Linked DNA regions of Saccharomyces cerevisiae S288C. The protein of the gene in region 1 purifies or fractionates together with the protein of each later gene. This does not show direct contact. Each region holds a gene or a part of one and is shown on either strand. Other genes may lie near its edges. The genes, in order: SRP54, SRP14, SRP72 and SRP68.

Region 1 (7,452 bases):
AATTGTTATCATCATTTGTTGATGCCCTATCATCTGAATCATTCCCATCTTGTTGACCCTCCTCTTCTTCATGATTTTCTTGACCCTGGCTTTTTCGATGAAGTTCTTTCTTTTGTTGTTCCTTTAATTGTTTTCTGTTCTTTTCCTTCAATAAAAGCTTGGCCTGCTTTCTCTTTTTAAAAAAGTTCCAGTCTCTTTTGTATAAAGTTTGTTTAACGTCCTGGATTGTTGTGTATGCTAGTAAAGTTGAATCTATCAAAGAAATCAACCTGCAATGAATGGAAGATGTCAGTTCTATGATAATAGAGTGGATGGTGTTAATCAGCTCTTGTAACACGCTTGGATGCCTCTTGAAAAATGAATCATCTCTACAGAGGTAGTAATAGAGAAAAGATAAACAACTTAACCAATACGATTGCAATACAATGTCACCTGCTTGCAAAGAAGCTTCTGTGGAGACCAATCCTGCAGCTCCGTTGGATGAAACACTGGTCAGAATTTTTGTTAGAGATAAGTTAATTAACGATTCTACTAGTGGCTTGGACTTTATCTTATGATCAGCATATCTAATACATTGGTATATTAAACCAGCTGGATAGGTGGTCATGTGAGGTTCCTTTTGTGGTAGCGATATCAATAGATTCAGGATTTGTGGTATATCAAAGTCGGAAAATTCCAAGTATTGGTCCGGAGATAGTTTATCATAATCAAATGTACCGTGGTAGTCTTCTGTATATGTGGGATCTATTAGGGTTGCAGCTCCCTGAGAATGATTCATGTTCTTTTCATCAGAATCCAGAAACATGTTGTCATTTGCACCAGGGGACAGGGTCAAACCGGCGACTTGTAAGTCAATATTATCAAAAGTTTCTTTCGTGGTAGAGTCTTCATTACTCATTAGAAGAGAGGTGTCTTTCGGTTGGGAAATTTGAGGTATTTCATGTTTTACTTCGGTACGGTATCGAAACATATTGTTTTGTTCCAAAAATTCCGAAAGTGGTGAATATGGAGGAACCATATCCCAAGCGGTTAATCCAGCCTTATTCGTCATGTTGAAGTTTATCTCGTCGAATGCGTTGAACAGCTCCAAGCAACAGTTCCTTCTCTGCAGACTGAAACTCCACATCAAAGGTGTGTAACCTACAATGTCGTCGACAAGATTCAAATCTAATTTTGCACCAGAAGGATTATCATGTAGTAACTCAATGTAGTCTGCACGATCAAATACAATGATATAATGAATCAAGGCAACGCCTGTGACGGATTTATCATTAACGTTTTTGACTTCCCTTAATAACTCCTTGAATGTAGTAAATTCTTCTTCACGGTCTTCGTCGCAGATCAATTTGACTAGTTGTACCCAGGAATCGCATTCTGGTCTATCTTCTTGGTCAAGTTTAAACAAAGTTGATTTTACCAGCGCGAGTTTCTCCTGAGCGTGAGAGGAGCCTACTGGTTTGTCCACCGTTCTGTCCTCTATTCTAGCATCATCCCAAACACTGTTCATTGTTCACGAATGCCTTGTGAGTTCTGTAGACCGGCAATTGCGGCTCTCCTATACTTCAGTCACTACCCATATTGTTATAGTATGATGGTCTTTTCGTTCATCTCAATATCGAAAAATCACCGCTAACGATAAAGACATCAACAAAGTGAAAAAAAATAGTGGTAAAACAAGATAATGAAAAGTGGTTGAACAGCAAGGATGCAGAAGAGAAGGGAAAGAAAACACAGCATCGAGTCTAACTAAAGGATGGTTTTGGCTGATTTGGGGAAGCGGATTAATTCTGCTGTGAATAACGCGATTTCCAATACACAGGATGACTTTACTACATCCGTAGATGTAATGTTAAAGGGCATCGTGACTGCGTTGTTAGAATCGGATGTGAATATTGCCCTGGTTTCTAAGTTACGAAATAATATAAGGTCACAGCTGCTGAGTGAGAACCGTAGTGAGAAGTCCACAACAAACGCACAAACTAAGAAGCTTATTCAGAAAACGGTGTTTGATGAACTGTGTAAGTTGGTCACCTGCGAAGGTAGTGAAGAGAAGGCCTTTGTGCCCAAGAAGAGAAAGACAAACATCATCATGTTTGTTGGGCTGCAAGGTTCAGGTAAAACTACTTCCTGTACCAAGTTAGCAGTTTACTACTCGAAGAGAGGTTTCAAAGTGGGTTTGGTATGTGCGGATACTTTCCGTGCTGGTGCATTTGACCAATTGAAACAAAACGCTATAAGAGCAAGAATTCCATTTTATGGGTCATATACGGAGACTGACCCTGCCAAAGTTGCAGAAGAAGGTATTAACAAGTTTAAGAAAGAGAAGTTTGATATCATCATCGTTGATACTTCAGGTAGGCATCATCAAGAAGAAGAGTTGTTCCAAGAAATGATTGAAATATCCAATGTCATCAAGCCTAATCAAACTATCATGGTTTTAGATGCTTCCATTGGTCAAGCTGCAGAGCAACAATCCAAGGCTTTCAAAGAATCGTCCGATTTTGGTGCCATTATATTAACCAAGATGGACGGCCACGCTAGAGGGGGTGGGGCAATTTCGGCCGTTGCAGCCACAAACACTCCGATTATCTTTATTGGTACAGGTGAGCACATTCATGATTTGGAAAAGTTCTCGCCTAAGTCATTCATATCTAAACTGTTGGGTATTGGTGATATAGAGAGTCTCTTTGAGCAATTACAAACCGTTTCCAACAAGGAAGATGCAAAAGCCACAATGGAAAACATCCAAAAGGGTAAGTTCACCTTGCTAGATTTCAAGAAACAGATGCAAACAATAATGAAAATGGGTCCATTATCAAATATAGCGCAGATGATTCCTGGTATGAGTAATATGATGAATCAAGTAGGGGAGGAGGAAACCTCTCAAAAGATGAAGAAAATGGTTTACGTTTTGGATTCTATGACTAAAGAAGAACTAGAATCTGATGGTAGAATGTTCATTGAAGAGCCTACAAGAATGGTTCGTGTAGCTAAAGGTTCAGGTACTTCTGTGTTCGAGGTAGAAATGATATTGATGCAACAGCAGATGATGGCAAGAATGGCACAAACCGCAACCCAGCAACAACCAGGAGCCCCTGGTGCCAATGCTAGGATGCCTGGCATGCCAAACATGCCGGGTATGCCAAACATGCCTGGTATGCCGAATATGCCTGGTATGCCAAAAGTGACTCCACAAATGATGCAGCAGGCACAACAAAAGCTGAAGCAAAATCCAGGTCTAATGCAAAATATGATGAACATGTTTGGTGGCGGAATGGGCGGAGGAATGGGCGGAGGAATGCCTGATATGAACGAAATGATGAAAATGATGCAAGATCCACAAATGCAACAAATGGCAAAACAATTCGGTATGGGCTAAAGGCCACCATTTGAATATACACAGTATATATATATATGTATGTATGCATATTTCAAATAACTTGTTTAGCTTTCATCCTTTCGAATACCTCCTTCAATAAAAAAAAAAAGAAAAATCTTGTTAAATTATAAAGTGTTCATTCTATTTTTTTGAATTGTAAAATAACAAAATAAATATTCGATTGAACTGCCATGGAAAAGGTTCTACCCTCTAACACGAGTACCCGTGCTTCTTGTTCCTATAATTTACTGTTTTATCACTTCATTATTTCTTTTCAACGCCCGGTAAGTTATCCAAAGACACTACACCATTAGCAATAAGCTGCGGATCCACAAGCTTGTCTCTATGCTCATAAAGTATCTTGTAACCAGATTTGATGGTACCTTCAGTAACTTGCAAGGTTTGGCCCACTTTCGCTGCGGTAATAGGGATCTGAAAGAGCAGGATGTTTAGATAGATGGAAACAACAGCGATAGTAATAGGGGATTTACCTGCAATTTCTTTGATCTCTTTACATTTCTTTGCGGTATATTCAGCAGAAGTAGTGACTTGCATCGGTAAGCCCAGATGCGAACAAAACCTGGGTATATAAGTTAGGTTTTGTGCACCACTCATATTATCGGTATCAATCTTCAAGAAACCATCTTCGCTCTTGCCTCTTAAAATGTTCTTCATTATGTTTAAAGTTTTACCAAACTCTTTAGTTTTGACATGGATTAATGACTGGATTTCTTTAAAAGTCCTTGCCACTTCAGCACGTCTGCAACCAATCAGTATGGATGCAGCCATTATACTCTCCATTGATTTCCCCTTCAAAGTTTTTTCATCGTGGCAAAGTTTATATGCTTCCTTGGCACAATCTTTCACAATCTTCGGTAATTCAGCAGCATCACATAGCATGGTAATCTTAGCAAATGCAGCTTGTACTTCATTATCCTTTTTATCCATCACATTTTTTCCTTGTGCCTTATTCAGTTCTTTGGTGAATCTCATATCCGTGGTTTCACCCTTTCCGATCCTTGTAGATAGGTTATTCCCATCTAAAAGAGGATTTGAAGCCTCACCAACACGACTTGGGTCATCACCGTTGTGATCATCATTTGAAAACGTTCTCCACTCCGACCTGGTGTCAACCAGTTTATCTGATAGTACTAGACCACATAGAGCACATACAACATCCCCTTCACTAAATCTTTCAACGATTTTTGGTGGGTAGACTTTGCACTCCGGACACGTCAGCACAATATTCAGATTAGGACCCCTTCTTCCTGCTCTTTTATCTATGCTCTCCCTAGTCATCATTCTGCGTATCTACTTCTCCCCTTCTCTATCACTGGATCGTCCACACCAGCGTCTATTAAGTTGTCTTTATAAGTGATGATTATTCTCTTCACTTTTTTTTAACTAAATTTATAACAAAATTTTTCGATTTTTAAGCAAATATTGAGACGAAACGGTGATGAGTAAGACAGAAATACAGAGATACTAAGCTATAAACTACTATTTAAGCACGTGCATAAATTGGGTGTGATGTGCAGTCAAGGCGAGCGTCGATTACAATGGGCGTAGAACACATGAGAGGCTTTAGTAATGAGATAATCCTGAAGAGAACGTTGACTTTATCCGATTTCACCTTACGTTACCATAAAAGGGGCATCACAGCTTTGCAGGTCATCAAAGCACCGTCAGTTTCGAATGTGCCAGTCTTGTTATCCGGTGATAACTACGGTTATTTCGTTATGTGGGACCTGGTGACCAAGAGACCGATTACACATATAGAAATCGAGGGCAACTCGCACATTATAGCGTTTTGGTGGGTGGAAACTACCAATGTGCTGTACATTCTTTCGAAAGACTCCATGCTGCGAATTTTTGAGCTTGATTCATCTACACAACTATCTATAGATTTAGTTAGAAAGCTTAGCCAAGCCAATAAAACGGATCATTTACAATGGACTAAAATCTATGAAATGCCCATAAACACACTGAATTTTGCGAATTTCATCATCGAAGCTGAAGTGAAACCAACCAAAGATAATAAAAGTTATAGATTGGTTTGCTGTCATACTGATGATTCGGAAACTATCGATATATATCAGATAATAGAAGACTCCACATTTAAATTGAAAAGACCATTCAATAATATTAATTTCCCCAGATTCTTGAAGCAGCAGAATTTTTTAGGAATTTCGAAAGACTCCAAATTCGGTATCATAATGAGATTTGCTAAATTAAACGATGTCATATTTTTAGGTTATGAAAATGGGTTTGTAGTCGGATTTAAAATTACTTTTGATGAAGGCCTTCAAAGGGACATTGCAGAACTGGTCCATGTTTCTAACGATCATTATCCGAATCCAATACTTGATATGTGTGTTAGCGGGGATGAACTTTATAGTTGTTCAACAGACGATTTCATAACCAAGTACAAAATTCCAGTGAACTTACAACTTGAGACGAAATACCTTAGAGATGATGCGCTTTTGATAAAATGCCCAAGCTCACTGAGAGTCAGTGAGCCATCAAAAGTACATCTTCCCTTGAAGAATATTGGTCATATTGATAAAGTAAAAGACGATTACTTAGTCGTGAGTAGTTGGTCAGGTATGACCATTGTTTATAATATGCGGACTTCAGAAGTGGAGCAAACTTTTGTGAAATCAAAGAACAACCTGGTCGTGAGTGATAGCTCTATGGGAGACCTAACAAACGGTAGCGGCTCAAATACCGAATCCAGCTCGAAATCCCATAACTATAAAGTGGGAGCCATGACATGTTTGGAATCGTTTGATGTGCAGTCAGATGGGTTGAGGTTAGGACAACTTAGACGTATTAAAGCGCTGGCGAAATGTAACTGGTGTTTAATTGGATATGAAGATGGTACCATAAAGCTCAATAAAATATAATTATTTTTTTTCCTTTTCTGTTTACATGGTTTCAGAAAGAACATTTGTATATATACATACGTGCCTATATATACATATTTCCTCAATCCAAGTAAAAAAAAGTGCGATGTATCATGGTCATAAGAATGTTAAAGGGAGTTCTTCCCTCTATCAATTATTTTATAATTTTCTTCAACATATTTTTGTTTAAGCCGGCATTGTTGTTTTTCTTCTTGTCATTCATTAAATGAGAGTTGTAAATTGAACTTGAATTACCACTACTACTACTTCCATTGGAATTAGAAACCAGTAGCTTCATCTTTTCTGATATTTCCTTTATTAGTAAGCTAACCGCCACATCGACATTTAAATCATCCATGCTGTCTATTCCAACAAATCCATATTTCCATTTTGTTGCTAGTTGTCTTCCCATTTCAATCAACATTGGGCTTGCGAGTTCATGATTAACGTGAGAACAGACGATAATGCATGGTGGTGGTGAATCGGGAGATGAGGGGTCTAACTCGATGGATTTTAGTTTGGTATTATAGGATCTCAATTGCTCTATTTTGGCGCTTTTCTCTTTGCTATTTTTACTCCATAGATGTCTCAGGCTGTAAACCAATGAGTAAATATCATCCTCTTTGCCTTCCTCCCATCTTTTTTCATAATTTCGAAATTCAGTCCAAGCATCTAGTATGCAGTTTCTAATCACTTTTAAAAGTTCAAATCCACCATCGCTGACGTTTTCCGTATCTGTGTTCATCACATCATCTCCATATTCCGGAGGGCCTCCAATATGGTTTAATTCAGGGACTGCGCTATACACCAAGATATAACCGTCAACTTTACCATTCAACTCAGAGGCACCAGAGGCAACCAATAGTGAAGTAGTAGATACAGGTCGTCTTGGTTCATCTGCTAGTCCATGTAGGATTGATTTTCCTAAATTTCGGAAGAGAGAAACTTCTAAGAACGGCACCACATTATCAGGACTGAAGCCAGGCGTATCAATAATATCAATCTGGATTGGTGCATAAGTGGGTGGAATGTAATTCAGGGGCAATTTAAAATGCTCGATAACGTTAAGCTGGTCTGCCTTGATTTTAGGAACACTTTGAGAGTTAATGTCATTGGAAAAAGTTTGATACAGCGGAGAATCAGATTTATCCAAAGATAGGGATCTCC
Region 2 (6,707 bases), on another chromosome or scaffold:
TGAAATCGATAAAAAGAGATCAGAGCCGGGACCTGCCCAGGAACATATTAGGGCTATTGAAACCAAATTTAGGCTGAAGCATTATCTAACTGGTTGTTACTTATTTTCACATCCTGAAAAGCTACCTGAGTGGGGATTCGGGCAGCAGGAAGTTACGTGTGCATACTTTGCAAGGGAAGACTTAACTTCATGGTATATTGAAGAAAACGAAAACGAAATTTCTTTGCCAAATCCAGAGAAGGTTTCTTATAAGAAAATGAGCTTTTGGCAGAAGTTTGTTGCTATCCACAAGTTCATGTTCTACCTTAACAATTATATGGATACTAGTCATGCCTACTCATCTGAACCAAAGACTTGGCCTCTTATGTTGCGTGGTATTGATTTTTGGAATGAAAATGGCAGAGAGGTGTACTTTTTAGGTAACGCTGTTTTGTGGTGGTCTGTCACAGCATTTATTTGCACGTTCATCATTGGAGTGGCTGTTGAGCTTCTTGCTTGGAAATTAGGTGTGAATATTCTACGGGATAAGCACATCATAAATTTCCACTATCAGGTCTTTCAGTACTTATTAGGCTTTGCCGCCCACTATTTCCCTTACTTCTTTGTGGGGCAAAAGTTATTTTTGTACGATTATTTGCCGGCCTATTATTTTGGTATCCTAGCATTTGGTCATGCTTTAGACCTGATTTCAACCTATATTTCTAACAAAAGAAACAATACTGGATATATAGTGGTGGCTATTTTCATGGTTGTATGTTTCTATTTCTTCAGCGAGCATTCTCCACTTATTTATGCTACTGGATGGTCGAGTAACCTGTGTAAGAGGTCCAAGTGGTTAGGAAGCTGGGACTTTTATTGCAATTCACTATTACTATCCGATAGCCACTATGAATTAAACGCTGAATCATGATCCATCCACCCGTATTCAGATTGGACATTCGTTTAGCAAAAGATTTAAAAACTACATTTGAGCTAAACTGCGGGAAAGATCTACGTACATATGGAAAAGAACCAGATGTATATGAAAAAAGAGTTCATAACCGGTCACAATGCAACACTTTCCTATCTTGTTCTTTCGTTGAATTTCACTAAACAACTAACGAATACCAAAAAAATGATCCGTATTAAGTAATGTATATACATATATATTGTCAAATACAACAAGATATTTAATAAACAAAGAATAGATGAATTAGGATTGAACCGGTAAAAGGAAAGCTGTGAACATGGTATTTCTCTTATCGGGCTTTTCAAGATCACCACTGAGTGGCATTTTAAGCACATGAGGAGATGAACGTAGGCAGATCAAAACATTCAGCCGATGATAAAGACTACAACAGCTATTTGATTGTCTTTGCATAATCGCCCTAAATTGGAGGCTTCTACAAAACAACTAATTACATATTCTTACTTCCTCGCCCGTGCAAAAGGATAATATATCTCTCATTTGAAAAAATAGCCATACTTAACGTTAATGTTTAACTTACGGGTTGGCATACCTCTTCTTTAATACAAATCAAAAAACGTAGCTTTCTTACCACCCTAAAACAATGGCAAATACTGGCTGTTTATCACCAGGTGCATTTTTATCAAAGGTTCCAGAATTTTTCCAGACTGCGAATGAAAAACATATAACTGTGCGTCTAACGGCCAAAAGACTCATAGAACACGATCCTGTGGAAGGGAATCTTGAATTTGATTCTACCAACCATCCTGACTATGATGTATCTAAAAAGGCTTCTGAAATTTCAGTTAGCTCAAGATCTGACAGAGAATACCCACTATTAATCAGAATGTCTTATGGCTCGCATGACAAGAAAACAAAATGCTCAACAGTGGTAAAAGCAAGTGAGTTAGATCAATTTTGGCAAGAGTATTCATCTGTATTTAAGGGGGGCATGCAGAATTTGATCAAGAAGAAGAAAAAGAAGAGTAAGAACGGTACCATCAGTAAGACAGGAAAGAAAAACAAGGTAGCGAAGAAAAACTGATGCACGTGACACTTGAGTCAAAAGGCATGTGCGCCTCTTGTTATCTTTGGATGTGTAGATTAAAGGATGGCAACGTAGATATAAAAGATTAATTGCATAAAGTTGTGTAGATATAAATTTAACTAAACTTTAGAATAAACGTTTTGAGATGACTATTTTTGAAATTCCTTTCATTCGTCCAGGCGTTCCATTACAATATTTCCTGATGGATATATGCCGCTAACGTCAGATATTTTGGTAGATAAATCAAGCTCTCTTCTTGGTACCGGCGTGATCAATTTGAAGCTATACTGGTGCTGATAATTAGCAGGTTGGTATACGGGTAAAGTATCGTTTTCTGAGTTCAACATGTCATGCAACTGTAATTCTACGAAGGCATATATCTCCTCCGTTGGTAGAGATGCGTCAAACTTTCTCACTAATCTCTGCCCATTTTCTAGTCTGATCGCAACTTTGCTTGCATCTTTATCAGAAGAGGGTTCGGGTTTTAGTTGGCTTTTTCTCCACAATAGCCATTGGTTTTCTATTCTTTGGTGCTCTCTTTCCATTTGTTCTCTTTGGGTCTGTTCCAATCTTTCTGATTCTCTTTGTTGATCACGTCTTAAGGAATCCTGGTATCTTGAATCCTGTTGTTGTCTTATTAATCTCTGCATTTCAATATTTTGTCTTTGCTGACGCAATTGAATTAATCGAGAATAATTCTTGGAGAATATGGCCTCCAAATCTTGGGCTTTGTAGTTAGAAATAGAACCTTCAACTCTTGCTATTAACTCTATTTTTTTCTCAGCCTTTAAAGAAATTATTCCAAGTAGGGGATATTGCCTAATTTTTAATGCATTGGAAACTTGCAACCCCTCGGATGTAGTAACGTCACCATACCATAGTAATACCTGGTACTTCCTTATCATGTTAACAAAGGCTTCTGAGCACAATATTTTATTAACGTAATCCATATGATTATCCAACAATGGGTCATGTAAATAAATGACTCCAAATTTCACTTGTTCGCTACAAGCATCCAATAATTCAGTGTAACTATTTTGCATAATGCTTTTGGAAAATGTTCCATTTTCAGGGTTGTATAAAGAACCAAAACTAAACTGGACCCCACTGCTCTCATTGTTGCTCGTACTGTCAGTATTGCTGCCATCATCATTATTCCCGTTACCTTCAGAACACGTTACAGCTTGAGCTTCGTTTTCTAGATTTTCTAAAAGACGGTGTAATTGGGAACTGTGGTCTAGTAAACGGTTGTGCTTCCTCTGGTAGAATCCGTGAAGTCTTAATAGAGGTTTTAAAAGACGTGAACTTCGGACAATGAAATTCAATAAATAATAAAGAACTATTAGGGGAGCTTGAAATAAAAAATGGAGTATTGATTTTAAGCGTCCATCCCGGCTCTGTGTGGGTTCATTTGTATTGCTGTTTTGATCTTCTGTCCTTCCATTCAAATCAGCAGGTGGTTCTTCTCTAAAAGCACCTGGGATTCGAATAAAGGAATCATCATTATTTCCAAAAGTATGCCTAAATATATCCATGTTTAAAGGGTATGTTTAAATCGCAGTCAAGCCGATTGATGAGGTACAACAAAATTTGGGAGTACGATTGCCCGCTGTTTTTGAACTTACTCTCACTTTTTGCTTCGTATGTAATTAAGCAAGGATGTGTTACAATAAGATTTCGCTTTGTTATTATCGTTTTAAAAGCGGTCGCCGAAGTGTCGAATAAAGGACAATGATAACGTAAAGAGAAAGAAATTGGAAAGAGACTGACCGCTAAGGAGATTGAATACATATATATAATAGTATGTGGTTAACTTGGAGAAGATAAATTGGATTTAAAGTAGTGGATAATTTTTCTTACATTTTCTATTGGTAAACCATAGACAGGGTTGACATCAGTAAGTTTCGATGATCCAATTAGGCGGTCTGGAGTACACTTAATATTATGTGGAGAATCATTAGGAGTGCAACTGTATGAACTTTCCGCAACAGCCAGTCCTAATAGGCAATAATTTGTATGGTAAAAGTCTGAGTGGGCCCCTGGTTTATCTCTCAAACCAGGTTGCTCTTTTTCTTGGCAACAGTACAATATGTAGTCCCGAAGAGCATGTTTGTTGAAGCATTGGCCATATCCAAAAGCTTCAAGAATGGCAGCCGAACCTCCAACCCAAAAACTATAGCAACCGTCAACAAGTTTGTTGCTCCTTCCGCAAAATCCTCGTTCTTCTTGCAATTGACGAGCACTAGACCATTCTAAAAGCTTTTCAACATTTATTTGGTCCATGGACCTTAAAATTGCTAGACTAGCTGTAGCACAGAAAGTATAGCCTCCGTGTGCCTCATCTACGTGAGGACAACTGCCGAATCCACCTTCATAATTTTGACAATTTTTCAAATAGTTTAACACACCTTCTGTAAGCTCTTCTGTAAGAATATTTAATAAGGTTGCTATGCTCAAGGCACAGTATATACCTCTTGTATCCACTTCTCCGACTTCTAAACAGGTCTTGAATCCTCCATTAGGCTCTTTCAACGATATCAGCCATTGGTAAATTCCTTTTCGATCAATTCTGTCCCAGCATCCATCTATGTTATCGCAAAGGGAGAGAGCATTAATTGCAGCATAAGTGCTGGCCAAATGAGATAATTGGCCAGGACCTCCACCAAAGGGTCCTCCTGAAGGACTAATAGTAAAGAGCTTATCTACAATTTTTCTTTTGGTGTCATCTGAAAGCCAGTCTCTGTCCATTACCTTCAATGAGTTAGCAATCCAATATAGCATCCACGGTTGTGAAGCATCTAGTGCTGTCATTTGTGGAGGTAACGATATCTCAAAAGCGACATCCAAGTACATTTTGTGAAACTCTTTCGTGAGAGCAGGTTCTATATTCTTTTCATCATCGTATATCTCTAATACACTTTGTAGTACTTTGTATCGTGCTTCTGTAGTGTCGGTTTCTAGTTCCTTCATCAATGGTTGGATTGCTTTACTTGAATCTACATGCGCTATATCGACGACTCTTTCCATAACTGGTCTCTTTCTTCCTAATAAGGCAGTATTTATAAATTTAGCCCTAGCTATGGACCTTCCTACTCTCTGTCGCATACGCTTTGATTGCCTATAGCTTTACAAGCACTGCAGTTGTTTCTGCATAAGAACGGCGATGATATGGACCCTTGCTTGGTTTATCCTAGCCACTTTCGCGTGTTTCAGTTTCAAGCTTTCCTAATCAGGCAACAGCTTATACGAAAAGATTAATAAGTTACAATGTTAAACAGTTTCGCTTCAAGACCTCTAACGTTAGCCAGAAATAATAAGAATAGGTGGATTAAGTTACAAGTGTTTTTGTCCTCCTACTTAATCAGAACAGAGCACGGGAATAGTGATCTCTTTCAATAGCGAAAGGAGGGAAAAATAGCCCTGCAATATATAAAGGAAGAAGTTAACACCGTATTAAAAGGGGTGAGGCCGTTGGGACAAGTGGTAGTTTCCTTAAAGTCTGGTTTGATTGACAATATTTAGAAGTTAGTGAAACGAACAACCTAAAAAACTTTGTTGTGCAGTAGAGAGCTTTACATTTACCTTCGGCAGTAAAATGGGTTCAAATGATTTGATAAATGAAGCATATGACGACTCGGAAGTAGTTGGTGAGGAAAGAGAATCAAAATCTGCATGGATGAAGAGGTGGTATCAGCTACTTACTTCTCCTTTAGACTTGCAGTTGGTAATAAATGAAAAGTTAGAAATGATCAACTGGGATGCTTATGCTAAAAGTCTAGCTAAGCCATTAGGGAATTTTTTAACAATACTTTTTTTTATCATAAGACTCTTGCAGGACAATTTGATCAAGCCCAACTATTACAAACTAAACGTCAAGTCTGGCGCTTTCGATCTTTCTAAATCCAATAAATTAAAAGAGTTTGATTATCTATGGGAGATATCATCCAGCTTTCAAAACAATAATCAATTTTATGCATTTCAATCTTGGTATTTTGTTACCTTAAGGTTTTTGAATAATCTTTTCAGGTTTACTATTTTCATACTGCTGTCCCTGAACCTGTACGTAAGCTGTAAATTCATGTTTGGATACTTTAAGACTTACAATCTCTTCCATTTGAAAAAAGAGTTCAACTCCCCAAACCTCACTAAACACAACTTGAAGGATCTAAGCAAAGAATACTATGAAGATATTTATAAGCAGTCCTTGTGGTCTATGTTGAAGCATTTTTTCAGAGGATCTCGTGATGACGGTCCTCATGTTAATCAAAATGAAGATGAGATATTTTTTCAGTTAAGAAAATGGATCCCCACTAACTTCATGATTAATCTTTTTGTGTCTTTTTCACCAACGGCAATTGTTTTTTTAAGCTTTTCTGATGTTTCGTTTACTTCAGCAATTGCTATAGTATTCCATCAATATATTCTGGATTATATCATAACTAAGAGATTTCAAAGAAGCGTGGACGACGACTTGATTTTATCAAGTGCAGCTTTGCAAGAATATGAGGACAAGCATATAATGGCACGAATTAACCAATGCAGCAATATAGATACTCTATCATCTGCAATGGGTACTAGATCTAAAACACCGAGAATATTCACCACTCACTCCCTATGTGGCGAAGAAATCAGAGAGGTTTATAATTATGAAAAAAGGGAATTTGAGGCATTACCGAAAATGACAGAAAGTGTGCCAGGATCCCGTGAAACCAG
Region 3 (7,140 bases), 560 kb from region 1:
TTTTTGCGAAGAACAACTTCAGCCATCCGTTGATATTCTTAGTGGATTCACTTAGCCCAAAAAACTTCATGGGCAGATTCCTTGAAATGACAATCTCGGGAGGAATCTTGATGCTGGGATTGTCTATATCTTTTTCACATACGCAAATAATGCCCTTAAGATCGGTATATAAAAACTTGAGTTCCTCTGGCACTATTACACCAAATGACGCACCCCACTGAAGTAGTGCTTTTAACGCATCTGATGACATGATAGTCTTCTCTTGTATCTATAACCTTTGTGCTCCATTTTCCGATACAGCATTGCTTATTGAACAGTAAGTTTAACTTCACGCGTTTTTCCTGTAAAGCGCTTAATTTGTTTACCATTCTATAAAAACCTTGAGCTAAGGCCAACTGATGCAATTGCTCAAGTGAATGCATAAACAAAGCAAGATCATTCTTAGCGCAAAAAAAACTGGGATTTTGAAATACAACAAAAGAAAGAAGTAAAAAGGGAATGCAACGCAATAGTTTAGTAAATATCAAACTAAACGCTAATTCGCCATCGAAAAAGACCACAACAAGACCAAATACGTCCAGGATCAATAAACCATGGAGAATATCCCATTCGCCGCAGCAAAGAAACCCGAATTCAAAAATACCTTCACCTGTAAGAGAAAAATTGAACAGATTACCTGTAAACAATAAGAAGTTTTTGGATATGGAAAGCTCCAAAATTCCATCACCTATAAGGAAAGCGACTTCTTCCAAAATGATACACGAAAATAAGAAGCTACCTAAATTTAAATCCCTATCACTCGATGACTTTGAACTGGGGAAGAAATTAGGAAAGGGTAAATTCGGTAAAGTTTATTGCGTTCGGCACAGGAGTACAGGATATATTTGCGCACTGAAAGTAATGGAGAAGGAAGAAATAATAAAGTATAATTTACAGAAACAATTCAGAAGGGAGGTAGAAATACAAACATCGCTAAATCATCCGAATCTAACTAAATCATACGGCTATTTTCATGATGAAAAAAGAGTGTACCTGCTAATGGAATACTTAGTCAATGGGGAAATGTATAAACTATTGAGGTTACACGGACCCTTCAACGATATTTTAGCATCAGATTATATTTATCAAATTGCCAATGCCCTAGATTATATGCATAAAAAGAATATTATTCATAGAGATATTAAACCTGAAAATATACTAATAGGGTTCAATAATGTCATTAAGTTAACGGACTTCGGATGGAGTATAATAAATCCGCCAGAAAATAGAAGGAAAACTGTCTGTGGGACAATTGACTACCTTTCTCCAGAAATGGTGGAGTCAAGGGAATATGATCACACTATAGATGCATGGGCTCTTGGCGTCCTGGCGTTTGAACTACTGACCGGTGCCCCTCCGTTCGAAGAAGAAATGAAAGATACTACATATAAAAGGATAGCAGCACTGGATATCAAAATGCCCAGTAACATTTCTCAGGATGCGCAAGATTTAATACTTAAACTACTAAAATACGACCCCAAAGATAGAATGCGCCTTGGAGACGTAAAAATGCATCCTTGGATACTAAGAAACAAGCCCTTTTGGGAAAATAAGCGGTTATAGAATTAAAGTATGACAGAATCGTTTGAAGGGCACTATTAATCACTCCCGCACATATCACATAATACTAAGTATCCATTTCTAATATTTCATTACTCTTTTCGGCATCGTATATTGCGATATTTGATTAAATTTTCTTGTTCATTTTTTCCTCTTTTCTTTCGCCTTTGTCGAAAGAAAAGAGGAAAACAAGCTGAAAATTGCTATGCATTAAAGTAGCAGATTTACTTTGTTGAGTTGGTTCTGATCAATAATAAGAGTAATGAAAGAAAGCAAAAAAATGGCTAAAGATAATTTAACTAATTTGCTCTCTCAATTGAACATTCAATTGTCTCAAGACGAGCATTCGCAGGTCGAACAGACTTGCGTGAAACTATTGGATTCTGGATGTGAGAATCCAGCGGATGTATTTAGACGTTGCTTAGTAGCTGTTATCCAACAGGACAAGTATCAAAAGGCTTTACATTATTTAAAAAAATTCAAACATATAGATGACAAGTACGGTCGCAAATTTGCGCTAGAAAAATTGTACATTTTCTATAAATTGAATATGCCAGATGAATTCAACACATTGTACACAGCAATTATCACAGATGATCTCGATACGGTACTAAAAAAGGATATCGAGTCACTTAGAGGTATCCTACATGTGAGAGCTCAATATTGTTATAAAAATGGGCTGTACCAAGAAGCTTTTAAAATATATCAACATTTAGCAAGTCACAATGAGAAGGATCAGGATAGTCAAATTGAACTCTCTTGTAACGAAAGGGTTCCGCTATCCGTTGCGACAGAGTTAATGAACAGATCACCCTTAGTTACTCCTATGGATGAATCTTCCTACGATTTATTATTCAATGAATCATTCATCATGGCATCCGTAGGTAAATATGACAAGGCTATCGAACTATTAGAAAAAGCGCTTCAAGGAGCCACGAATGAAGGCTATCAAAACGATATTAATACTATTAAATTGCAATTATCATTTGTTTTGCAAATGGTGGGGAAAACTGCACAAAGTAAAGAAATCTTAAAGGGCTTATTGCAGGAACTGAAAGCCGATTCTCCATTCTCTTTAATTTGTCAAAATAACCTAAATGCGTTTGTTGATTTCTCTAAATACAATACAAACTTCAATTTACTGTTAAGGGAATTAAACGTAGAAAAACTAAACACTTTTAATTTACAAACCTTCACCCATGAACAATGGTCAAACATTCAACGCAATGTACTTTTCCTGCGTTTGTTCAACAATGTCAAAATTCACTCTCAAGAGTCCCTTTTATCAAGAACGTTCGATAAATACTCTAAGTTAGTTGACAATGTTACTTTGGAAAGCTACAAGACGCAGGCCAAGAAACTTTACCACCACACTACAAAAACCATTTTAAGTGGAACAGATGGAAGTACGATTGGAATATTACTACTGACTATCCAATTGCTAATAATAGAGAAGGAATGGGAAAATGCTATCAGAATAGGAGAATTATTTTTAAATGAAAGCTGGAAATCGTCCTTTGAAAAATTCAACGATTCACAAGCCATCGTGTGTTACATTTTATTTGAATTATACAAGATTAAGGGAAGAAACAACTCCAAAAGTGTTCTGCTTAAAAAATTAGGCTCCGTGAGAGTCCAATTGAGCGGAAAAATCCAAGAAAACATACCATTTTGGAAACACGTCGGGTTTGAATTATTGTCCATGGGTAATGCTAAAGAATCGAAGGCTTTACTCAGAGAGATTTCAAACTTTAGTAAAGGCGATGCAGATGTCCTTGTTGACAGAGTTGTTTCGTCAGATTCTTTGGATATAGCACAAGGTATAGATCTAGTGAGAGATATTGATATTGATAAATTAATTCAACTTGGTGTGAAACCCTTAGAATCGTCAGCAAAGAGAAGTAAAAACACCGCAGTTAGCAAAGTTCAAAAGAGAAAAGTTTTAGAGCTAAAGAAGAAAAGAAAGATTAAACGCCTCGAAAAATTTTTACAAGGTCGCGACACCTCCAAATTACCTGATCCTGAAAGGTGGCTGCCATTAAGAGACAGGTCTACTTATAGGCCAAAGAAAAAACAACAAGGTGCAAAACAAACTCAAGGTGGTGCTATGAACAAAAAATCAGAACAGGCCCTTGACATATCAAAGAAAGGGAAGCCCACTGTTAATAAAAAGCCTAAGAACAAGAAGAAGGGCCGTAAATAGAGCGTATAAAGATTTTTGTCATTAGTAATCCTCAAATGTTGTCAAGTTATGTAATATTGTATATGAAATGGAACTCGACTAATTCAAAAGAAAGGTCATCGAGGGGTTAGGCTCCCCATTTTATCGAACAACTCTTTCCTTTTAAGCGCTAATTATATGATTCTTTATTATACAGAAAAAAATACATTGTGAGAGATAACGCAAGCTGTAAGTGAAATGTACACGGGAATTCATCATCAGTCCTTCCCACTAAGTAAACAAGGTGTCTTCATCTCTCAAATACTCACCAATATCTGCTTGTCTGAAAGCAACTATACCAGTGGGTTGCATGTTTCTTGACTCAGAAGTACTTTTCGCACTGACACCGAACCCTAATGGCACATCATTCATTGCAAACACAATAACACCGGCGTGTTCTGGTATATCATCAGACATTTTACCCACATGTGCCTTTAACACATGATTACCGTATAAGAATGGCATCTCCCCATTAGGTTTAATCCATATCTTATATTTGGCATGCTTAGCCAATACTGTCAAAGAAGTAATATGTAACCTGAATTTTCCAGTTTTCGTGAATTTACCTAAACAAATACCCAGAGACATCAAGTTAGGTCTTGCTACACTAGTAGCCAATTTTGCAACATGATCGGGTACGTAATATACTCTATCCTTTTGTAATCTGAAGACATGAGGAAGTTCTTTATTATCCACTAAAAAAGAAATATTTCTACCAATATAGCCGGCGAGTTTTTCGAAAACAACCTTGGTCTCTTCTTCTGTTAGCTGTCTCATTATTGCACCTAACTATAGTTTCCCTCAATGGTTCTACTACTCGGAAATCTAGAATACGATCCAATCACTAAACCGTCAATTACCTCAATAATACATTGCTTACTTTAGTTCTAAGCTCATCGCATATTTCAAAAATTTTCATTACCGTACAGAGATATATTATTTTGATGCGGGTAACTATTAGCCGCTGAAATAATATTTTCTTTTTTTTTTTTTCTTTTGGCTTTGAAATTTTTCACTTTTAGTCATCGCTATAGTTCGAGAAATTTGAAATACAAGAAGTACTAAAAAAATAATAAAGGACAATAAAGTGCTAGTAAATAACAATTATAAGTGATATCAAGGATGTCTGAAGAGAATTTGAGGCCTGCCTATGACGATCAAGTTAATGAGGATGTCTACAAGAGAGGCGCTCAGAGCAAATTGACCAAAGCTCGTAAGGCAGACTTCGACGATGAAAAGGACAAAAAAAAGGATAATGACAAACACATAGATAAAAGACCAAAAAGCGGTCCTCGTTTGGATGAAAATGGCAATCCACTTCCCAAGGAGCCTCGTCTCCCAAAGAGAAAGGTGGCTGTTATGGTTGGTTACTGTGGTACTGGCTACCATGGTATGCAATATAATCCACCAAATCCAACCATCGAGTCTGCCCTATTCAAAGCATTTGTTGAAGCAGGTGCTATTTCCAAGGACAACTCCAACGATTTGAAAAAGAATGGATTCATGAGAGCTGCAAGAACTGATAAGGGTGTCCATGCTGGAGGTAATTTAATATCATTGAAAATGATTATTGAAGATCCTGATATCAAGCAGAAGATCAACGAAAAGTTACCGGAAGGGATAAGGGTATGGGATATCGAGCGTGTGAACAAGGCGTTTGATTGTAGAAAAATGTGCAGTTCACGTTGGTACGAATACTTATTACCAACTTATTCACTCATTGGCCCCAAACCTGGTTCTATACTTTATAGAGACATCGAAGAAAGTAAAACAGAATTACCTGGTGTATTAGATGAAGATTTGGAATCCAAAGAATTTTGGGAAGAGTTTAAAAAAGATGCGAATGAAAAATTTTCAACAGAAGAAATCGAAGCTATATTAGCATATGTTCCGCCCGCAAGAGATGAATTTGATATAAATGAAGAACTATACCAGAAGGTAAAAAAGTACAAGCAATTAGAAAATGCTCACCGTAGAAGATATCGTATATCCGCGGCAAAACTGGCCAAATTCCGTGCTTCTACAAGTCAATACCTTGGCGCTCATAACTTCCATAATTTTACATTAGGCAAGGACTTCAAAGAACCAAGTGCCATTCGATTTATGAAAGATATAAAAGTATCTGATCCATTTGTTATTGGCGATGCCCAAACAGAATGGATTTCCATCAAGATTCACGGCCAGTCTTTCATGCTACATCAAATTCGTAAGATGGTATCAATGGCAACCTTAATTACCCGTTGTGGTTGCCCCGTCGAACGCATTAGTCAGGCTTACGGACAGCAGAAGATTAATATTCCGAAGGCACCTGCATTAGGATTATTGTTAGAAGCTCCAGTATTTGAAGGTTATAATAAAAGACTAGAACAGTTTGGTTACAAGGCGATCGATTTTTCCAAATATCAAGACGAAGTGGATAAGTTCAAAATGAAGCATATCTACGATAAGATCTACAAGGAAGAGGTGGACGAAAATGTTTTTAATGCGTTCTTTAGTTATATTGATAGTTTCAACAAGGTTACTGGAGCACAGGGAGAAGAAACTGCCGATAAATCGGGACCTGCTGTGCAAAAGAGTATCTTCGAATTCTTGACAGCTAAGGGTATCCCAGGTCTTACTGATGCGCCCGAGAGCAATAAGAAGATTAAGCAAAGAAAAAGAATGGAAGAGGAGGAAGCTGCTAGTAAAAAGGCTGAAATATCCAGCACCACTCAGAGCAACGAACCTGAAGTACAACCGGAAGCGGCAGCTAATTAGGTTGCCCTTTCCTTCTTTCTTACCAACTTTAATTTCTAAGGCATTGACATTGAAATTGACATTGTCCTCTAATGTTTATAGAGCACCATTATTTGTTTTCGTTTTATATATTATTATATAATGGCACAGAATAATTTATAATTCTTTTTTTTTAAGTCATTGAACAGTCGCACTAACCAAAAGATTAAACACCACCAGAGAGTAGTTTTTCCAGCCTGGCAATCTCTTCTAAAGAAGTAGCTTCTGCTAACTGCTTTTTCAATTCATTTCTTCTCTCTACTGTCATCTTACTCACCACCAAATTCATGATCTCCATCGTTTTATCTCTGGATCCATTATCTCTTATTGCAGTATTTACTGGGCCCAACGTATCGCCGTCCGCCTGCCTTGGAAAGCTCATTGCGCTCTTTCTTTCCTCAGCTGTTACGTTTTGAAAGTCTAAAGTCTCTAAATGCGGTACTAATCGAAGTACATGTTCTCTATAATTGGCTAAATGACATACTTGATTCCCTATTAAAGTTAGATTCTTCAACGTCCTGGGCGCTCTACGCAACCTTTGAAGA
Region 4 (8,442 bases), 620 kb from region 1:
ACCACCGGGAAAAACGTACGACTTCCAATTCATAGCACGACCAAATAGCACAACCTAACAACCAGAGTGAATTGCTGTTCTCAGTGCTTCCAATTAAGCCTTTCCCATCCCCCTATTCTTCTTGTATCGATGCAGTTCAAAAAAAAAAAAAAAAAGAGGCTTTAGATCTCAAAGGGCCGAAAAAAGTGAAAAATTTTCTCGAGAAATCATAAAAGCAGCCATCGCCATATATAAACAATCTATGCATATGTATGCAGCATGGCATCGCATCTTTCTTGGCGACCCGGTAGTAGCATTTAACTTCCATTAGAACCATATAAAATGCATGGGCCTACTTCAAAAGCTATTTCCCGCAATGTGAGAAGCGTGAAGAGACCAAGAAGAGCACCTAGGCCCGTGGTCTCCACGCAGGCTATGAACAAGTTGTCTAACGTAACACTCTCTGCTGAACAAGAAAAGTTGAGAGAGCGCGTTTTGTCGTTCATGCGTTCCAACTTATCTCAGTACAAGTCTGACTGGAAACATCCGGCCATGTTTGTAATCCAAGGGGACGCAGGTACAGGCAAGTCTGTGATTCTAAACTCCTTGTTCAATGAAATTCAGAAACTATCCCAGTTCTCACCTTCTTCTGAAGATATCTTACATGGGACACATAATTATCTGGTAGTCAACCATCCCGAGATGTTAAAGTTATATATCCGGATTAGTGACAGTTTCAAATATATTTCTAAATCGTCACTAGAACGGCCCACTTCGTTGATCAACAATCTACAGAAGAGAAAAGTCATGGCCGATGTAGTCATTGTAGATGAAGCACATTTGTTGGCCACTTCTAAGGATGCTTTCAAAAGATTTTATGGCGAAAACCATCTCAAAGACTTAATGTCCCTTTGTAAAGTGCTTGTATTGGTTTACGATGATAAGCAAGCTTTAAGAATGGGTTCCTATTGGGATGAAGGTTCTAATAACGGTGCCACTTTAAAGGACTTTTACAACGAGATTCCACCAAAATCCAGAGACTGGTACACTTTAAAACAGCAGTTTAGGGTTGCTGCCCCACAAAACGTGTTGAACTGGATTGACCAAATTAGTGTCGCAGGTAAAATCCCACCAATTGAATCTGTGCTATCTAAGGGCAATGCAGATTGTGCTGACGATAAAATTAAGAATTTTGATTTCAAAATTTGGGATGATTGTGGCGCCATGTACGAGGCAATCAAGGAGAAAGACCGTCAATACGGCCAATGTAGGATGCTATCTACTTACGATTTTCCCTATCGCTTGGACGGAAAAGACTATTACGTTGAATGTGGTGACAATTTCAAAGTTCGCTGGGATCGCTATACTCCACGTGAAGTGACGCCTTGGAGTGAGCGTTGCGACACGATTGATGAGGTAGGTAGTGTGTATACTATCCAAGGGTTTGATCTGAATTATGCTGGTGTAATTTTGGGCCGTTCCATTGGGTATGATGCGGCTAATGACTGCATCAAACTAAGACCAGAGCTGTATGACGATAGGGCCGGTTTCACCAAAAAGAAAAACATTCACAATGCAGAGGACGTTAAGCAAAAGATTATTATGAATAGCATTAATGTCCTCTTAACTCGTGGCGTGCGTGGTCTGTATGTTTATGCATACGATCCTGAATTAAGAGAGAGACTGCTTCGTCCATCAAAAAAATAGGAAGTACATAGTATAGACAAATTTTATAAATATTAACTTTTATTTGTTGCGATCTTCACTAATCTACGCAGATTTTGCCTTCGGTATATTAGCCTTCTTCTTGTTGAGTGCTTCCCAAGTGATTCCACCAAATACTATAAACATCCCCACCCATTGCTGGAAACGTACACTCTTACCGAAGACAATAATACTCAAAATCATCGAGACCATTTTCCTGGTGACTGTTATCATGATCAAAACTAAAGAGCCAAATTGTTCTAGAGTATAGAAAATAAAGCATTGTCCCATAGCGCCACAGAACGAATAAAGCATTAAATAGCCCCACACTTGTGGGTCCATCGTCAATACAGAAACGGCATTATCCCATTGTTTGCAGTCGATCACAATAAAATACAAAATATTCCACAATATCACGAAGAGGTTCAGTGTAAACATCAAGTGTGCACCTGTTATCAAAGTTTGTTTTCCCTTTTCTTTGGCCTTATTGGCCTTTAGTAGCTTATCTTGGGTGGCGTTGGTCAATCCATCAAGGAATAAACTAGAGAAAAGTAGTCCAAACCCTTGTAATTTGTTATCATTTCCGCTCTCATTAAAGGATCTCTTCAACTTTTTACCATCGTTGCCACCTATAGTGAAAATAGTGACACCGAGACTTACCAAGAGAGCTACAACTTTTTTTTGGCTTGCTATGGGCGTCCTATACAAAAGCAAATGCACCAACAACACGGGGATCATCTTGCATGACTTTGCTAACATGTAAGTGAGATAATCCACGTGCTTTAAAGAAGTTGTAGCCAGCGGGCCTGAACTACTCTGTGTAAATGATATCAACATCAATTGTTTCCAATGATCTTTAATCATTTTTCTGGGCGGATATTCCACCTTCTTCCAGTTTAAGTACAGGTAGCCCATCATCATTGCCACAGAAGCTTGTATGAGGGATATTACATTAGGGAATTGAAACTTTCCCATGGAGTTTGGCCAGGTTCTTGTAGCCAAAGGCTCCTGTACTAATGCCCACGTCAAAAAAGTAGCATATATACCAATCGCACAGATCACCAAACTGGATGTACTTCCCGCCATACAAATATACGAATACTGCCTTGTTTACTTCTTCTTGTTACGTTGTAATTCTGGTTCTAATTACATTGCTGTCATTTTTTCATGTTCGATGGGATCTACAAAACAACCTTTAGAAGCGATCTCAGGGAAGCTTTGGAAGAGAAACAGCTGATGATTCTGGCATTCCACAAACTACAACAACGAACCAAACGACATATTCCATTGCAGTGATTTGATTGGGAGTAAGCTTTTATAAACGAGCAGACCAATATGATTTACGTAGTATTTCGTTGTCTTTACCACATCGTTGTTCGTGATAAGTTCTGAAAATTTTTTTTGGAGTATATTTGCTAGAGTTAATCCAACAATATTAGCATAAACGAGCAGCTGGAGACTAGGTTATTTGAATTATTTGAGCATCAAAGTGATCAATTGTATTATATTACAGTGTAATTTTCTTTTTTTCCATATTGAATCAAAAACTAGCCACGCTTGAAACTAAAGATGGTTGCCTATTCTCCAATCATTGCCACCTATGGTAATCGTGCAGAACAGTTTTTAGAAACAGACTCAGACTTCGCTAAGTATCATGCGAAATTGAATAAAAAGTTGCAACACTTGAGGAGCCGTTGCCATTTGGTCACCAAGGATACAAAGAAATACTCAAGTAAAAATAAGTATGGCGAAATTAACTCCGAGGATTATGATAATAAAACTAAATTGATTGGTGTTTTGATTTTACTACACGCTGAAAGGGACTTGGCACTGGCTGAAACTTTGAAATTGAGAGCTCGTCAAAGAGGAAAGTTAAAGAAAAGTGAAGAAAAGGTTTTATCCACAAGATTGAAGAAGGCCTGCAAGACTGCTGATAAATTGGTTAACGTCACTCAAAATGAACAGCAATGGATAACTCGTGCCCAATATTTAGCGTTCGCTAAATTGGTACATTCAGAGTACCTAATTAATGGAAAAAGGTTCAAGAGGAAGGACAATGCCAAAATTTCGAACAACCTAGCCCTCGTTTTCGCCGCATTGGAACACTTGAAGAATCTAAGCTTATTAGCTGAAGAAGTTGTAGATAACATTGTTAATAAATACCAGTACTCTCTCAAGCAGTACGCGGGAAATTTAATTACAACGCCCGAAATAAATAACTTTATCGTGGAAAGAGTTCAATCTGATGAGAACAAGGACGATGAGCTTGTGAAATTGTTATTAGACAATGGATTCAATATGAAAAAAATTACAACCTCAACTGAAGATCAAAAGGTTACCACTAACATAAACTGGAGATCTTTCAACGCCAAGATAATCGATGCTGAAGTTGCTCAATTTTTGGAACAAGGTCTATCTATCCACCCAACTCAGATTACTCAATATACACAGAGGCTATCAAAATTGGAGAAAGCTTTAGACCGTCATGAATTTTTCATCGCAAACCACGACGATCAAGATGACATAGACGAGATGGTTGAAAATAGTTCTGAAAACAATCAGATAATTTTAGCCTACATTAAATATAATATTCTTTTGACCTCTATATCTCGTGAAAGAGATTTGTTTACTCATTTATGGAATCAATGGCTGAAATTAAATACTTCATTACCATCGAAGTTAACCAAATATAAAGAAATGGAACGTATTGTGAAGAATTTGACAAAATATTTATCGGACATAATGGAGCTACCTGGTGTGTATTCAGATGACGAGCTGCTAAGCCAATTAGACTTATGCAAGCTGTATTTCCAGTTATTTCTGAATACGGGCTGCCTGAGTGTTTTATATCAGTCGAAAGGCAGATATATGGAGGCGTTAGCTCTATATGTGGACGCTTACCGAAGATTAGAAAACAAATTATCTGAAATTGAATCTCTAGACGAAATCTTACTTCCAGCAAATCTTTTGTCATTGAATTCTGTCCGAAGCTTACAAAAGAGAATCGAAAACGGTGGTAATAGTGTCATTACTTTGGCGGAATACGAAAAAAGAAATCATGGTGGCAGCTTAGGGAAATATGATTTGACAGTGATTGAAAAATTGGATAGTAAAAAAATACTGCCAACGGACATACAATTGAAAAATTTATTCCCTCTCAAGCCAAAAATGCTGCCCATTCCTAGTAAACCAACACTTTTTGATTTGGCCTTCAACTACATAACATATGATAAGCAAGAGCCCTCAGCTTCTCAAGTGAAAGATTCAGTCACAGAAACCGAGAGCATCTCTCAAACACCAATTTCTAATGAGCAGACGGAAGGAGAGCCTAAAAAGAAGCGTGGTTTCTTGGGCCTATTTGGTCGTTAATATTTTTCTAGTATGACTGTATTTATAGTACTATATAGATTATTCCATTTAAACAAATGATGATTGCCAACTATAGTAGCCAAATAACGAAGTGCATTACTTAACACATCTTATTTTTATCTACTGAAGATATCGCCAAATTACAGCACATGCTAAAAAGAAGATGTTTAGGGTCCTTTACATAACTATACGTTAAATTATTTTTGCTGCTGAAAATAAGGAAAATAAAAACAAAGATAAAAATAGAAAGAATGGGAAAATTTAGTAACAGCTTTTGCCCAATATGCTCAAAACCGAGTTATCTATTACAAAGCGTTCCTTTTATAGAAAAAACTGACAATCAAATGTAGTAATTGGCTATTGTTAACAACAACGTTGGAATGGAATAATTTCCACGTCTCGATTTTTGGTTCAACTTGAGTCTTTATCAAGTCTTTAAATGAGAAAGAATCGACATCATCCGAGTATCGTTTATCGGGCCCTTTTCTTTTGTCAATCATTTGAATACCGAATCTAGAACCATCCGATGTGGAAATTTTGAATATTATATCTGGGAATTTAGGACCGCTCGAACCAAAGACTTTTACAGTCAGTTCAGCTAGTTTTTCACCCCTGATGGTTTTAAGCACTCCTCTTTCATACAACTGCTTTGTGTTCCATTTAAACTTCATTCCCTGCAATTCAGAACGTTCTCTTCCTTGAACTTTTTTTACTGCATTCTTAAAATTTCCAAATTTACTTTTGTGCACCGGCGAAAAATCCTTGGCTTTCTGGAAGTCTTTTATCGTATGATCAACATGTTTTTTAAGCCTTGATAATTCTATATCTAAGCTGTGGTTCATTTCCGAAATTTTTGTGAGTGTTTCCTTTGTGATGTAAATTTCCTGGGTTACATAATCAATGGCATAGTTGGGATTTTTAATAGTGTTCGCAATATCGTTTAAGAAATTTTGTAACTTATTATCAGAAGAGCAAAAAGTCCCCGTACTTTCTAGTTCATGTATTTTTTTCAAAGTAACATTTTTGAGTGTGAAGTATTTCAATGGTTTCAGCTTCTGTATCATTGGATCATCCCTGATTTTAGGATTTTGCTCCAGAAAATTTGCAAAATTTGGTTCATCTTGAGGTAGAATTGTACTAATTGAAAGGTCATACAAATTGGTATCTACATCCTCAATTTGCATCATGTACACAAATGCCCTTTTAACTTGGTCGTAGATTTTTCTCATCTTGTCATCACTAACGAGGAATCGATATGCAGATGCATCCAATTCCAAGGTAACACGTCCTGATCTTGGAAAGGATGAATTGTCCAAGTTCTTTTCCAAAATATCATGCAAAATATCTGCTTCCGGAAATTCATTTAAATACTCTTCAAATTTACCACTGATTTCCAGAACCTTTTCAGTTAACAATTCCAATTTGGGGCTTGGCGATACCATATCCAAATAAATCAATCTATCTCCCTCTTGTTCATACTCTGGATCTACTAACACATTATAAAGGACATCTTTGATATGAGGCTTTATTTCGTTAGCGTACTGGTTCAATGGATCCAAAAAGCCATCAAAATTTTTGATTTCAAAAACAGTCGCCAAGGATTTCATTAGAATGTCAATTTTTTGGTTATTTTTTTGAACGTTGCTGTCTTTGTATCCGTAATATTCCCGGTTGACCAAATATTCAGACACAAAAACGTTCACTAGAATACTTGATATGGCCCTTAAAGAGTCAATCTCCTCAATATTCTTATCTGCCGCGTAGCAGAAGATTTTAGTGCAGAGGTACCTGATTTCAACGGGAATAGTGTGAACCTTTCTGGTATAAATTTCAGCGACCATTTCAATCGCGTGCCATAGGCACCTTAAATTGTCAATGAACTTATTCTTGGTACTCGCATCATCCACAGGCGAACAATGCTGAGGAGAGCTAAAGCCGTGTATTTCTTGATAAATTTTGTATGGATCACTTTCAAAATCCACTACTGGATCTGACAAGTAATCCAAAACTGGGACTATTATAGAGAAGAATTCTGGAGACTCTCTTCTCAAAAAATCTTGAAGAATGGTTTGCCAAAATTGTGATCGGTTGTCAAGAAAGCTTTCAATACTCGGTGCTTCATTAATCGCATTTTGTAACATTTCACAAACAAACCTTGTGAAATAGGATCTCTCTCTGTCGTTCATCCTTTGATTCACTGTTCCAAATGTCATATAAACATTCTTTGCAACAAATTCTGGCTCTTTCAAATACAGCAATTTCCAATAAGAGGGATCAACTTGCAACATATAGAACAGTTTTTCATACTTTTGATATTTAGACTTCGGAATCGTAGAATCGGAAATACCGAGTTCATGATCTTTATCTTTTAATAGTCCAAACTTATCCAATACTCCGTTAATATTTAGTTGTTGTCTTATGCTCTTCAGTAATCGTTCCTTCTTCATATTTTCGGAATCAAGAGAGGCTTGGCAACTCTCCAACTGGTTTTGGACCTCTTCAATGGTTGCTGTTCCATTGAGCAAATGAACGAATTTTTTGACAGCCCAAAGACTTGGATTTGGACAGTCTAGAAGTTCCAAATATGCCGATCTTTGCAGACTTTTCCTAATCCAGCTTTGAATCATAATAACCGACCTTACGTTTCTCTTGTAAAAACTCGACTTTTGGTCCAAGCTTTCACGTACTAAAGCGCCTCTAGAAAATGCTTGAAATAATGCTAAATTATTATACTCCACAATGTCATCGACTAAGTCTAATGTGTAGCGGACTAGAATACCTCTAACCAAACCCTGGAGGTCGTGCACAGTTTCACTGAGATTATTTTCGGGCGCAAACAGTGACTGTACCTTATGTCTTACAGCGTTTCCGCGTATACAGGCTGATAATTGAATAATATTACAGTTTTCTTTTCCAAGTGAATATATTATTGATGCTAGGCACGAACGCGTAAATATTCCTCTAATCAAGCTTTGCAATTTTGAGATATTTTCCTTATGTACATCATGTACAGCACTTAATATCGCGTCCTCTGAACACCTCACAACGTTACCTCTGATGATTGCCGAAAACTTCATAATACTTTCTCGCTCATCGTTCAACTTTGTATTGAGGGACATCACCTTCTTTCTCACATAAGAAGCACGCATATAAGACTGCAATTTTGTCAGAGGATAATGTGATATCTCAATATCATTTAATTTTGTGTTAACGGTTGTCTTCAACAATTTTGAACGACAATATGCTTGCAAAAGTTCGACAGTACACGAAAACCTTGAGAGTGTAAATTTCAATTTATCGTATTTATATCGAATTCTGCTTCCCTTAATTCGCGATTGAATCGCCTCGACATGAGGAACGTCAATCTTTGCTCTTCTTATTGGCAAATAC

What was found.
Region 2: the proteins of SRP54 (region 1) and SRP14 purify together in Saccharomyces cerevisiae (affinity purification with mass spectrometry; 4 studies listed by BioGRID). This does not show direct contact.
Region 3: the proteins of SRP54 (region 1) and SRP72 purify together in Saccharomyces cerevisiae (affinity purification with mass spectrometry; 3 studies listed by BioGRID). This does not show direct contact.
Region 4: the proteins of SRP54 (region 1) and SRP68 purify together in Saccharomyces cerevisiae (affinity purification with mass spectrometry; 3 studies listed by BioGRID). This does not show direct contact.

What each region holds. Positions count from the first base shown.
Region 1 is NC_001148.4:707,330-714,781, reverse strand, and holds SRP54 (RNA-binding signal recognition particle subunit SRP54), read left to right. Parts: upstream 1-1,753; coding exon 1,754-3,379; downstream 3,380-7,452. Other genes in the region: YPR089W (uncharacterized protein), read right to left, coding at 1-1,507; transcription factor SUA7, read right to left, coding at 3,644-4,681; ASA1 (Asa1p), read left to right, coding at 4,954-6,285; YPR084W (uncharacterized protein), read right to left, coding at 6,440-7,452.
Region 2 is NC_001136.10:291,231-297,937, forward strand, and holds SRP14 (RNA-binding signal recognition particle subunit SRP14), read left to right. Parts: upstream 1-1,550; coding exon 1,551-1,991; downstream 1,992-6,707. Other genes in the region: putative dolichyl-phosphate-mannose-protein mannosyltransferase PMT5, read left to right, coding at 1-910; clathrin-mediated endocytosis regulator UBX3, read right to left, coding at 2,162-3,529; RAM1 (protein farnesyltransferase), read right to left, coding at 3,804-5,099; NUR1 (Nur1p), read left to right, coding at 5,590-6,707. UniProt on the Saccharomyces cerevisiae protein: Component of the signal recognition particle (SRP) complex, a ribonucleoprotein complex that mediates the cotranslational targeting of secretory and membrane proteins to the endoplasmic reticulum (ER).
Region 3 is NC_001148.4:150,952-158,091, reverse strand, and holds SRP72 (signal recognition particle subunit SRP72), read left to right. Parts: upstream 1-1,879; coding exon 1,880-3,802; downstream 3,803-7,140. Other genes in the region: RKM1 (protein-lysine N-methyltransferase), read right to left, coding at 1-250; IPL1 (aurora kinase), read left to right, coding at 499-1,602; ribosome biosynthesis protein NIP7, read right to left, coding at 4,052-4,597; pseudouridine synthase PUS1, read left to right, coding at 4,943-6,577; U2 snRNP complex subunit LEA1, read right to left, coding at 6,762-7,140.
Region 4 is NC_001148.4:85,265-93,706, forward strand, and holds SRP68 (signal recognition particle subunit SRP68), read left to right. Parts: upstream 1-3,252; coding exon 3,253-5,052; downstream 5,053-8,442. Other genes in the region: putative rhomboid protease RBD2, read right to left, coding at 1-33; YPL245W (uncharacterized protein), read left to right, coding at 322-1,686; UDP-galactose transporter HUT1, read right to left, coding at 1,750-2,769; IQG1 (Iqg1p), read right to left, coding at 5,358-8,442. UniProt on the Saccharomyces cerevisiae protein: Component of the signal recognition particle (SRP) complex, a ribonucleoprotein complex that mediates the cotranslational targeting of secretory and membrane proteins to the endoplasmic reticulum (ER).